3 linked regions of the Coturnix japonica genome follow. The protein of the gene in region 2 interacts with the protein of the main gene of each other region in a biochemical or structural test. Links are inferred from orthologs where the notes say so. Each region holds a gene or a part of one and is shown on either strand. Other genes may lie near its edges.

Evidence for each region.
Region 1: of the proteins of FGA (region 2) and FAM20C, one has a biochemical effect on the other in vitro, tested with the Homo sapiens proteins (2 studies listed by IntAct). The link is inferred for Coturnix japonica from reciprocal best matches to the Homo sapiens genes FGA and FAM20C.
Region 3: the proteins of FGA (region 2) and PLAT form a complex in vitro, tested with the Homo sapiens proteins (2 studies listed by BioGRID). The link is inferred for Coturnix japonica from reciprocal best matches to the Homo sapiens genes FGA and PLAT.

What each region holds. Positions count from the first base shown.
Region 1 is NC_029529.1:1,831,573-1,835,762, reverse strand, and holds the start of FAM20C (extracellular serine/threonine protein kinase FAM20C), read right to left. Parts: upstream 2,845-4,190; 5' UTR 1,834-2,844; coding exon 1,313-1,833; intron 1-1,312. UniProt on the Homo sapiens protein: Golgi serine/threonine protein kinase that phosphorylates secretory pathway proteins within Ser-x-Glu/pSer motifs and plays a key role in biomineralization of bones and teeth.
Region 2 is NC_029519.1:18,074,404-18,078,580, forward strand, and holds the start of FGA (fibrinogen alpha chain), read right to left. Parts: upstream 2,874-4,177; 5' UTR 2,818-2,873; coding exon 2,767-2,817; intron 981-2,766; coding exon 852-980; intron 135-851; coding exon 1-134. UniProt on the Homo sapiens protein: Cleaved by the protease thrombin to yield monomers which, together with fibrinogen beta (FGB) and fibrinogen gamma (FGG), polymerize to form an insoluble fibrin matrix. Fibrin has a major function in hemostasis as one of the primary components of blood clots.
Region 3 is NC_029537.1:4,078,704-4,082,350, forward strand, and holds part of PLAT (tissue-type plasminogen activator), read right to left. Parts: intron 3,549-3,647; coding exon 3,417-3,548; intron 3,064-3,416; coding exon 2,950-3,063; intron 2,058-2,949; coding exon 1,883-2,057; intron 1,325-1,882; coding exon 1,233-1,324; intron 985-1,232; coding exon 810-984; intron 477-809; coding exon 391-476; intron 23-390; coding exon 1-22. UniProt on the Homo sapiens protein: Converts the abundant, but inactive, zymogen plasminogen to plasmin by hydrolyzing a single Arg-Val bond in plasminogen.

The sequences.
Region 1 (4,190 bases), on a different chromosome or scaffold from region 2:
CAGGGTTTACGTTGTGTTTAGACTGCATCATGTTGCAAACATCTCTTACAAGTTGGACCCAAAGCAAAGCATCGTCCTCAAGTTTTATTTAACAGAGCTGGGGCTGGAAGTCAGTGCAGCAGAAAGCTGACCTGTTGGACCCAATGTTCCCCCTCCTTCCTTTTAATCAGGAAGAATAAGAAGAAACCAGCTCAGCTGAACCTGCTGCTAAAGAGAAACTTGGGGTGGGTCGCCCCTTCCTTAGCAGCACCATACTGATATGGAAAAGGACTGTGAGAACAACATGTGAATGCTACATTTCATGTTTGCTCGGGGAACTTGGGGGGAAAACACACAGCAGCAGCTGCATTATGGCCATTAGGGACAGCTTTGCCCTCCACCTATGTGACACAGCCACACTTCTCCCACCCCAAAGCCTCCCATGCTTTTAGCCATCATTCCATGTTCTGCCATTGGTCTTTTATTCTCAAGGAAACCAGAACTTTGTCAGTTATTTCCCTTCACAGATGCTTCTGTTAAGCAGAAGGGCCTGGACCACTGACATGTGCAGGGGGTAGAAATCAGAGATATCTGTCCTCTCCGTCTGAATGTTCGGATCCCATTGGAAGCTCTGCAGCTTCACAGAGCTTTTGCTCGGTACAATGCAGCTGTTTAAACACTACAATGTCAGTGTGTTTGGAAGAGGGTGCTGTTGGATTAGACAAGCCTTTGGATTTCTCACTCATTGAGATTTCCCAGCGTTTCCCACCAGCCAACAAACCATTCGCAGAGGCAATAGAGCACTCTGAAGGCTGGAGGGCTGCGGAGGTGCCAGGACACTGGGAATTAATTGAGGATGAAAACTGGAGCACCGATCAAAGCCTGAAGACAGAACTTTGTGACATTAGACCTTACTTTAGAGAAAAGTGAGGCTGTTGGTGGCGGGACGGACTGCTCAGCCCCTGCAAATGAGAAGGTGCAGGGCAAGGGGGTTGTGCTGTGTCTGAGCCTGGCCTCCCACTGTTTCTCTGCTAGCATCTGCCTCTGGCTGCAGCTGCAGGCAGCATCCCGGGGACCCTCTGCTCCCGACACTGCCGCGTTACGTCCCGTATTTCGGGGCTAATTTGGAAGGAAGACAACGGCTGACGTCTGCAGACGGTTCCGCTCCATTTCTCATACCCCTGAAGCCCGAATCCCTCCCTTTCACCCCGAGCCGTGACACCCAATTCTTCGGGAACACCCCCGGAAAAAGGCAGCTCAGCAGGGCAGCACCGCGCCGCGTTCCGCCCCGACCCCGCGCCCCCTCCTCCCCCCCCACTTCCCCGATCCTCACCACTCGCTCTGCTCGGCCGCCCGCGGGTTGAACCTGATGTCGCTGTTGACATTGAAGAGGAGGTCGCCGTCGGTCAGCGGGGGCAGGGCGGCGCGGTACAGCGGGTGCTGGAAGAGGGCGGCCAACGGCGCGGCTTGGGCGGGGGGCGGCGGGCGCGGGGCTCCGGGCGCGATGAGCCGCCGAGGCCGCCCCGCCGCCCCCCCGTCCCCGCCCGCCGCCGCCGCCGCCGCCGCGTCCCCTCCGCCGCCCGCCGCCCGCTCCGCCGCCTCCCGCGACTGCGAGGAGAGGTTGGAGGCCGGCTCGGCGCTGAAGTCCTGCAGGATCCGCAGCGTGTGTTTGCTGGGCCAGCGCGGGGCGGCGCGGGGCGGCGCGGCGGGCGGAGGGCAGGAGCAGCCCGGGCGGCCCTCGGCACCGCGGCGCTCCAGGCGAGGCAGCAGGTCGATCATGATGTGCATGGTGCAGGCGACGAGGAACACCATGAGGATCAGCACCCGGAACTTGCGGACCAGGAGCATTTTCATGGCCGGGAGCGGCTGATGAATTAGCGGGGGAGGGAGGGAGGGGAGGCGGCGGGGTCGGCCGGCAGCGGGAGCGGGTCTTCCGCCCCCCCCGGGGCTCCGGCGCTCTCCTGGCGGGTCGAGCAGCGAGCGATCAAGTCAATAAAGTTATCTCCATAGGCGCCGCGACAGAAAGAGGCTAAAAGCGATAGGTCCTCATTTCTCAGTATCATCAAGAACTTGGGAGGGGGGAGGGCGGGGGGGGAGGGGGGGAAGGAATCGGGGAAAAAAAAAATAATAATAATCGAAAAAGGAGCCTTTAAAATCGGTAGGAAAACAAAGGCAGCGGCACTGCGATATCTAGAGCCATCTGTTCGCGGTTTCTCTCGCTTTTTTATTACGGGGATCACAACAAATAAGGAGAGCTGGTTCTGGAGAAGAAAGGCGTCTGGCGTTGGCTGCGATTAAATCATAATCGTTCAAAAAATGACGGGAGGAGGAGAGGGAGAAAGAATATTAAGAAGAAACCTGTACGGCAGCGACAGAAGGAAAAAAAAACATCCATAACGTTTGGCAGTGCAGGAAACGCTGACTCCTTCCTTTTCAATGTGCCAGTGATGCAGCAGAAGCGCTCTCCGCTCGCTCCCTTCTCTTCTGTGAGACTGCTTAAGAACATTGGCTGCAAAATCATTTTCTCCGAGCGGTTCCAGTTCCTTCATCCATCGCTTTGTCCGCCGCTCGGGAGAGATGAGCGCTCAGCTGAGATCCAGCCGGTGTGGCTGCCTGTATCCGAACTGGGCTTGCCTTGGCGTGGGTTGGGTTTTTTTTGGCTGCAAAACTGTCGGATGGCACAACTGCAACATAAAGGTTAAATATGGCACAGGGAAAGAAAGAAACGAGGGGGGGGGGGGGGAGGGGAAGGATTAGGGAAAGAAACTAATAGAATTCGGTTAGCGGTTCTATATAGCAAAGAGGTCCCGTCTTTGATCTCTGCTGGGTCCTACAGATCTGCCTTTAGAGAAGAGAAGAGAGGAAGGGAGGGGGGGAGGGGGGGAGAGGGGGGAGAGCTGCATGGCAGGTGCAGAGTGAAAACTCTTTCAGCCACACTGGGTTCTGGAGACGGGTGGAGGGTAGCTCTGCAGCTCCAGATTTCCAGTGGGTGTGTTAAATATTATGAGCGAGCCATGATTCCTGCCTTCCTCACGTCACAGTTCGGAGATTGGCTAAATAACGCTACAGTGATAGTAACAGAAAACCTCAACCAAAAGTGTTTTTTTTCCTTCTCCTCCTCTCCTCCCTCTTACCCACCCCACCCCCGCCAACCCCTCATTCTACTGCAGCTCCAAGCGGAGCAAGGAGAGGGCGTCTGTTCCACGAAGGTTTGCAAAATAGAATTTTAAAGAAGATGATGATAATAACGAGCGGTGACGGAGAGGGGAGTCTGCAATAACGTTGCAAAGTGTTGCACGCGTTGCGGGCCGTGCTGGGAGCGGCGGTTCTGCTCCGTCATTGCGGGGTTGCAGGGTGGGCACGGTGGCTCCCCTCGAGCTCAGCCCCGAACCGCTGCAAAGTCAGGGCGGAACGCTGTGCGCTGCTTCCTTCGGCCGAGCAGTGTTTATTTTGTAATCCCACATCCCGTGGGTTGTGATAATCCCGAGGTAATCCGCGCTCTCTGCCTGCTGGTGGCCACAGGGCAGCGCCCCGTGGGTGGTGGGAGTGGGTGCTGGAGGAGGGGACGGGTCACTGCGGTCCTGGAGAGGTGGTGAGGTGTGCTCAGGCTGCTGGCTTTTGTGTGCGCCACGACTCTCCTGTGCTTATTAGCGAGGCTTAATAAGCTTTAAGTGGGGATGCAGCAGGAAAGATAAAGGTATGTGCTTCTGCCCAGCCACCACCACCCTTACATGGAATCAGAGAATGGCCTGGGTTGAAAAGGAGCACAGTGCTTGTCTAGTTCCAAACCCCTGCTATGTGCAGGGTCGCCAGCCAGCAGCCCAGGCTGCCCAGAGCCACATCCAGCCTGGCCTTGAATGCCTGCAGGGATGGGGCATCCACAGCCTCCTTGGGCAACCTGTTCCAGTGCATTACCACCCTCTGGGTGAAATTCTTTGCATAGGATCCTCTCAAAGCTGATTGGGATGGCCCGTTTTCCTCAGGATTAACCAACATTAAATACTGCCTTCCTCCCTTCAGAAGTGTTTTTTACCTCTGGATCCATCCAGCACCATTCCCCCATTGGGAGCTTCTGCAGGGCACACTGCACTCCCCTGGAGCACACCCATGTACTGACAGCAGCACCCTGCTCTGCAAAATGGAACTCACAGCTTGTGCTCAAAGTTAGTGCTTTAGCTCCTCCAGGGAGAACACATTGCTTTGTTTCAACT
Region 2 (4,177 bases):
ACCCGATTGGATGCTTTATAGTTATTTTGACTGTCTGCGAGTTGCTGCCTAATTTTGTCTATTCTGTGACTGTTATCCTGGTCTGTGTCATCAATTAATCCTTGCATTCTGCAGCCTGATGGACATTTTATACCCTAAAAGAGGAAGAGAAATAATTGTGCTAAAATCTTCATGAATCTGTCTTTTTGTTTTTTAAATCAATACCCAGCAATTAAAACACTCTAATATGACTTAGGGCAGTATTATGTGACTTCTTCTGTCCTATCCATCCAATGACTTTGACAAGGGCTTGTATGACTTGGAGCAGGACACCTCACGGCTGACCCCTTCACATCTTGCACCTCTGACACTGGTGCATTGGAATTGCTGAAATGTATGCATAGAATCCTGTTTCAAGTGGTGACAAAGGAACCTTTAATTTTCACTTTCCTCTGTTCCTTAAGAGTAGAAACAAAATTAAACAAAACAAAAAATAACAATAACAATATTAATAACAACAATAATAAAAGCAAAACAATAATCTCACCACATTTATTTCCCAAAGGGCTGCTGTAAAGGGAAGTTAGATCCAGCTTGATCAAGGGTGACCTAGGCTCATTCATTTAAGCAGAATTATCCTCAGAAAATCCCCTGCTCTTATACGTTATAACTCTTAGGCAAGATTGCATCTTCTAAATGTAGCATAGATATGAGTTGAGATGCAGGAGGCAAGAGAGAGACAAACCAACAGTTCATACACAGACATTCAGTCAGCCATTGGGAAGCTTTTACTGAACATCTTGTCATCAGACCTCCTAAACCAAGGGCAGGGGTCCTTGTGTGCCCTGCTGTCCCTATGGCTCATTGCTCACCCAGTCATCGTCCGCACAGATCGGCCAGTTCTTCTCATACTTGCAGGAGGACTGTTGCATGTGCTCCACAATCCTGGGGCCACGCACACCTGCTCCCTCCTTTTCAAAGGTGGTCTCCCCATCCTGAGCCTGCCGGGAGGAGTAAAGAGAAGAGCAAAACTGAGAGTGTTGGAGCACTGGTCAAGAAAATGGAAATGAAAAGCTGACATCCTCAAGCACTCAGTAGCACTGCAGCCTTGTGGAATGCATCATCCAATAGTGGCAAGGCGTTTCTTGTAAGACATGGTTTTGTTTGTTTTGTAAGAATAAAGCTTTTCCACTCTTAAAATTAATGCTCATATGGAGAATGGATGGTGCTTAGAGTATGATGATAATGATGATATCTTTACAAGATAATCCTGAGCTTTGTATGTAAATGCAAAATTAGCTTGAAATTAGATTGAAGTTACTTAAGTTAACTTTGAAACATCTTCATTCCATTTTCACTTGCTTTCATATTCTTAAATTTTTGTTTTCATCCTATTCCTTCTGCCTACTCAAAACTGGCTTGAAGATATGCATGAATTTACTATTTCCATTCATTAGTGTTTCTGTTTTTAGTCCTATAAGCTCCTAGCACTGTTTTGCCTGACATAAAGAACAAGAATACTAATAGCATTGTAATGAAAATAATAATGTCAGTGATGGATGGTTTGCACTTTGTTAATGGAAGGAACAGAAATAAATGAACTGAGATTTTTCTTGAAATCTGAGAAACCAAAGTGCAATTATACCAGCTAATTCTAAACCAACATGCTGTAAGGATTCTTACTGCATTATTGCTTAGTAAAGAACTGGAAAATAATTCTTTTTCATAAAATGTAAAGGAGATTGCTTGAGATCTAATTAGGTCTGCCTAGGTTTTTCTTCATATGCATTACGTTCTTAACAAACAGTATAATTCATGCCAAAAAAGATGTATGATTAATTCACATGCAGAGAGAGTGTTCCTAATTACAGCCTTCAGAGCCAGAACCTCAGCCCTGTGGAACTGGAATGTCATTATTTAACTCAGCAGTTTCACATTGGTTCAATTCATCTTGGCCAAAGAGTCCCCTAAAATAACAAATAAAATATTTAATTTTAGGTCGTCTGTGCCCTTTAAGCACTGGCAGCTCCGGCAGAACTGCTTGTGTTTAGCCAGATCTGCTCCCCATAATTTCTGCAATTTGTGAGAGCATTTACTTTCTTCAAAATACAGTCGTAAAGAAGACTAACATGAGATTAATGGCTGAAACATAAGTGAAAAAATGTCAAGGATATGTTAGTATAGTTGAAAATTATGATTATCACTTTCCTCATCTAAAAATTTCTTCTTGCTTATCTTAGGTAATAAATGTTTCATTATGTGTTGCAATATAATAGACCATAATCTATTGTCATCTTGCTTGCATTCTAGTTTAATTTGATGTTGCTGCCATAAGAATCACTGTTTTCAAATCGGAATTTCATAATAAAGCCATTGTGCATCATTTGTAGCTAGAAAGTGCAGTTGAAGCAAACTGAGGAAGTAGAAAAGGAAAGTAGAATTAAAATAAACTTGAAAATTCCTGACTGTCTGGAGCCTCCAGCATCCAATTCAGCCAGCTTTAAGGCTCACAGCAGCACCTGTGAATCTATGAATTCGTGTTATTTGCTTTGCAGAAGGCAGGCGGGTACAACAAGACTGAATTAATCAAAACAGAACTGGATATACAAGAACTGCTGTCATGAAAGAGCAGCAGTGAAGTAGTCACACTAGGCTTGTGCGTATGTGTGTGCACTGAATTTGACAAGATAGGTGCCAGCAAACATGCATCTAATTCATGCAGATTAAATAAACTCTTACTCTTCAAATCAGCAAGGTAAGGAAATAATGAAGTAAGGAAACTCATACCCAAGCTAAGTTGAGGCAGAGCAACACACAGAGTATCTTCACTGGTATCATCTTCGGAGAAGAGCGAGCAGAACTGTGGATGAGAGGATTCTCTCCTCTGGTCTTTTTGATGCAATTTAAACCTTGCTGAAGAGCAGAGATTAATCATTATTCTCCCTTCTGTTTGGAGACAAAACATGTCAAATGTCCTGAGTCGATTACATAAGGCCTCTTGCACAAGTTTCTGGTGTTATTTGCTCCAGATAAATTTGTACAGCACCACCATGAGGGCAACACCATGTATTCCAGGAAAGAAAAAAAAAAGCATATCAGCTTCAAGCTTGATTTCTTGTAAATTGTTGTTCATCTAGGGTGTATGTGGGTCCTAGCAGGAGCCAGCAATACTTAACTAATGGAAAACACATGTTGTGTGGCGGGAATTTAGCGAATACAATCAGGCAGTTGATATTTGAAAAAAAAAAAAGGCATTGCCCTTTCTTTGAAGCTCCATGCTCATGAAAACCATTGGGCCTTCGGAAGCAAGTACTAGTGTACTACCTTTTGTTTCCTCCCATGTCTGGCTTTGCATTGCATGCTTCTCTTGTCTCCGTAAACCCTCTTAAATTAGAACGGAACTCATGTAAACAACACTAACAGTGAGTTGTATTCTCAAGTTACAAGGAACAGAGCAGATCGATAGGATGGTGCTACGTTGATTTAAGTCACTGATTTACACCTACACCATCATTTGTATGACTGGAGGTTTCTGTTATATTTAAGGCAAAATCTTACCCGTGCATACTTGGAAAGAAAGTTTTTTGTTGATCTTAATTTCCTGCAGCTCCTTTTGTGAAGTGTTCTGTTGAATTCTGTGCAGTGCCACTAATACCACAATACAACAAAATAACAAAATTCTTCTCATTTCAGAAGCAGAAGAGCTCAGCTAACTTCAGCAACCCAGGTCTGAGCAGACTCCACATTATCTTTACTGTCTGAGGATCAGCCAGCCATGTCTGTTCTGTCCATAAGGAAGCTCCTGAACTCAAAGCAGACAAAAGTTACGCACATAAATGCTCCACTGCCATTCTAAGCTATCCTAGCATGTAATTTTGTAAAAGTGTTATTTTTATGATTGTGTGCATTAGTTCAATGGCACACATACATAGTCCACTGCTAATCTCAGCAGCAAGACTGAAGATGCCTTCCCAGTCCGAGTCCTGTGCAGTTTTGTTCACTCTTTTGTAATGGTGCTGTGAAAGAATTATAACAATCTTAAAGAATCATAAAAAGCTCAGACAACAATAAAATGCTTATAGGGTGAAAAGATCACAACAAGAGGAAGAATTGCAGGACTGTGATGAGTTATTTAAAAGAATAGATTTAAATGAGCTATATACAACATCTGCCAGTTTCCACAGACAGTGTCCCGTTT
Region 3 (3,647 bases), on a different chromosome or scaffold from region 2:
CGCTGCCGTAGACCACAGGTGGCTGTAGGTGACAAACACAGAAATATCTTTTTTGTTCAGGGACTCTTGCATTAAGTTAAGGTTAAGAGCCTGCTGGCTATCAATGCATACTGAGGCAGCCTTGCATGAACTGCTCGGTATCTGACTCATTCCTGTTTCCTAGGAAACTTATATTGATTTGAAAAACACATTAAAGAAACCCTGTCTTTCCTATTTCCTCGTTCTGTGATCATCTCCTCGGGGGCAGAGAAGGTACTTCTGTGACAGCTGAGCTACAGAATCCCTTTTTATCCTAAGGAGCTTGTTTTCCCCATCACTTATTTTGCTATAAGAGGCTTCCAACATACAGTACAGAAGAAAGAGCAGCATCAGGAGTGCTGGGATCCTTACAGCAAGTAGGCACATCGCAGTACTCCCATGTGAGCTGTTTTCCTTTTAGTACGTGGCACCAGGGCTTGCTGTCGTTGTCAGGATTCCTGCAGTACAGGAAGGAGAAGAAAAACTTGTATTGTCAGATCTGCAGAGTTTAGCGAGAAGGAGACACTTAAGGACAGCAGATGGGGTTCTGAGTGTACTCCTTTTGATCTTTTTAGTGACACAGAGGGCATGTTAAATTTTCATTTATGGTGTTAGAGAAGTATAGGCAGACCAAGTGGAATGAAAATTACCATTAGCAGTGAGTTTGATTCCCAGCCATAACATCCTTACTGTGTTTTGTAACTCATGTAAACAACTAGAGCCCTGCCTCAACATTACCACAAGGAAACTTACTGTTTGTTTTTAAGTTCACTGTACCACTGAATACATACCTGCAGAAATTGTGACTGCCAAGGCCCAGCTGGTAAGCATCTCTTCTCCAAGCAGTATATAACTTGCTGACAATGATTAGAGAATTCCACCTCAGACAGGTAGCTCCAGAACTGGTAACACTGTGACTACCTCGGTAATCTGTGCCTCTTCCAGTTTTGCAATTGATGTTTCCAACTTAAATAAGAAAACTGCATATGTTACATGGCGCATGTGAACCATCAGCTGCTCCAATTGTGATTTCTGTCAAGACTTCTATATACTAGCTATACTTCTCTCAGGCTCTGTAGTAAATATTAAAACCTTAAACATGATTTAACATAAGAATATGTTAACTGTTGATTTTCACAAAGACACAGATAACTCTTAGAGCTGCTATGACTCACTATATATCTAAAGCCCATTCTCTGTCCTCCTGCATGTACCTTTTGAACAGGAGGGCACACTGCAGTGTTCCCAGGTGTACTTTCCCCCTTTGTAGATGTAGCACCAAGGTCTGGAGTCCTCATCTGGGTTTCTGAAAGAGTTATGACATTATGCATCATTATAAAGCTATAATTACTAGTCTCAGGTGTGCCATCTAGTTTGGTAACTTGATTGTGCTTAGCAGTGAAGGGGTGAACTGAACCTGCAGAAGTAATCTGTATTCTTATTTTAGTTAGAAAAGCATGGAGGTGAGGATGAGATGGCCAGTAGCAAGAGTGGATAGCTTGTTTGTGCAGTTTAGATCACGTGCAGGAAGCTCTGCATTGTAGAGTTTTAAGGAGTGTCTAGAGCTACAGGCAAATGTGACAGGAAACTGGCTTGTAACAGGAGTTTTTAACACTAAGAAGGAAGCAGTGGGCACAAGGGAAAGGCTATGGAGTGAGAGAGGCGTGCATCTTTGTAGTCTGTCAAACATCCACTCTTAGATGGTTCAGAAATAGAAATCTATCAGTTGCTGCTCTTGGACATGTTTGCACCTGTACGCAGTGTTCTATGGTTGGTACTAAGCTTTTACAAATAGCCTTTTTTGCCCTAAGCTCTTGAAATAATCAGATTCTTACAGCTCTAATGTGTGCTGTGAGCCCCTCACCTGCAATAGTTGTGATTGCCCAACCCCAGCTCAGCAGCATCCTTTCTTTGGCCACTGTATTTACGGTCCATCAAGCCACTGATGATCCAATTCAGGCATTCAGCTCCACTCTCTGTTATGCTCCATGTACCCCTGTATGTTACTCCAGCATTTTTGTAGCACTTAGCTTCAGTATCTGAGCAAAAGGGAACAAAAAACAGCATCACAAATTCTGCTTTCTCTGACTGTGCTCTGTTTAAAGTTAGCTCCAGATGCCTTGTAAGTCAGGGCAATATCTTTCCAAGCAAGCTCTGCATATACATGAATGTCTTTGTCTTCAAAACTTAGTATTTTATTAAGAGGACAGAGAACCATGGAGTAGCTTGAGTTGGAAGGGACCTTAAAGACCATCTAGTTCCAGCCCCCCTGCTGTGGACAGGGTTGCCAGCCACTAAATCAAGCACTAGATCAGGCTGCACAGGCCCCATACATCTTGGCCTTAAACATCTCCAGGGACAGGACATCCACACCTTCTCTGGGCAACGTATTCCAGCACCTCACCACTTTCTGAATGAAAAATATCCCCCTGACATCTAATCTAAGCCTTCTCTCTTCTAGTTTAAAACCATCCTTGCCCTATTGTTATTAGTCAGTATAAAAAGTCTGTCTCCCTCCTGACAGTACTGGAAGCTCCTATAAAGTACTGGAGGGCTGCAATGAGGTGTCCACGGAGCCTTTTCTTCTCCACGCTGAACAAACTCAATGCTCTTGTCCTGTGTTTTTAGGAGAGGTGCCCCAACCCTCTACTCATCTTTGTGGTCCTCCTCTAGACTCACTCCAATGTTTCTACATCGTTATTGTGCTGGGGGCCCCAGATCTGGATGCAGTTTCCCACCTGAGGCCTCATGAGACACAGAGAAACCCACGTGTCCTTTTCTAAACTTGTTTGTAGCATTAGCTTTACCACAAAAAGAGGCAGCTTAGTGGAGAGACCTCCATACAGCAGTGGTTTCTAAGTACCTAATCCTTCTGCACCACACAGCTAAAACCAGCAGTGTTGTTCCCAATAACTGGAGCAGCATACTTGCCTATTTCACACTGCTTCCCAGAGAAACCGTGGTGACACTGGCAGATGAAGAGCTGTGGGGAGTAATATGCCTGTGAACACTGGCCCCCATTGTAGCATTTATTTCTAGTGCAGGCTGTGGAATAAACAAAAGCCAGGAAACAGTTAGAATTCACAGAAGTAAGCAGCTGGCAACATGCCCCCCTCCTCCTGCTGGTCTCCTTCAGCCTGTTCTGCTTTCCCCTAATATGTGTATATCATGTTCGACTCTTCCTTTGCTCCATTCTTTCCATTAATGGTATCATAAGCTTTTCTCAGCCTCTTGCCCATTCCTCCTTAGTACTGCCTGAGTCAGTGTATACTGATGCTTTCATTTCAAGCCAAGTTTTTTGTGATCGCTCCTTCCCTGACAATGGAGTTTTTCTTTAGGATGATTAAATGGATAGTCTGTTATCTCCCACCCTTTCCATTCTTTTTCTTCATACTCACCTCTGATGGGCACAGTGTGGCAGTAACTCCGACCACTGTCACACCTACAATATTCTATTCTGCTCCCTGAGAGTCTCAGCCAGCTCCCCCTGTGCTGGTATATTTGTCCAGATGAACTGTCTGTGCAAATGGCTGTAATTGGAGAAAGGGAATCCTTTTAGAGATTCACGGAAAACACATTGCTGAGCAAAATAACTTATTCTTGCTGAGGTAAAACGTACCCACAAAGGG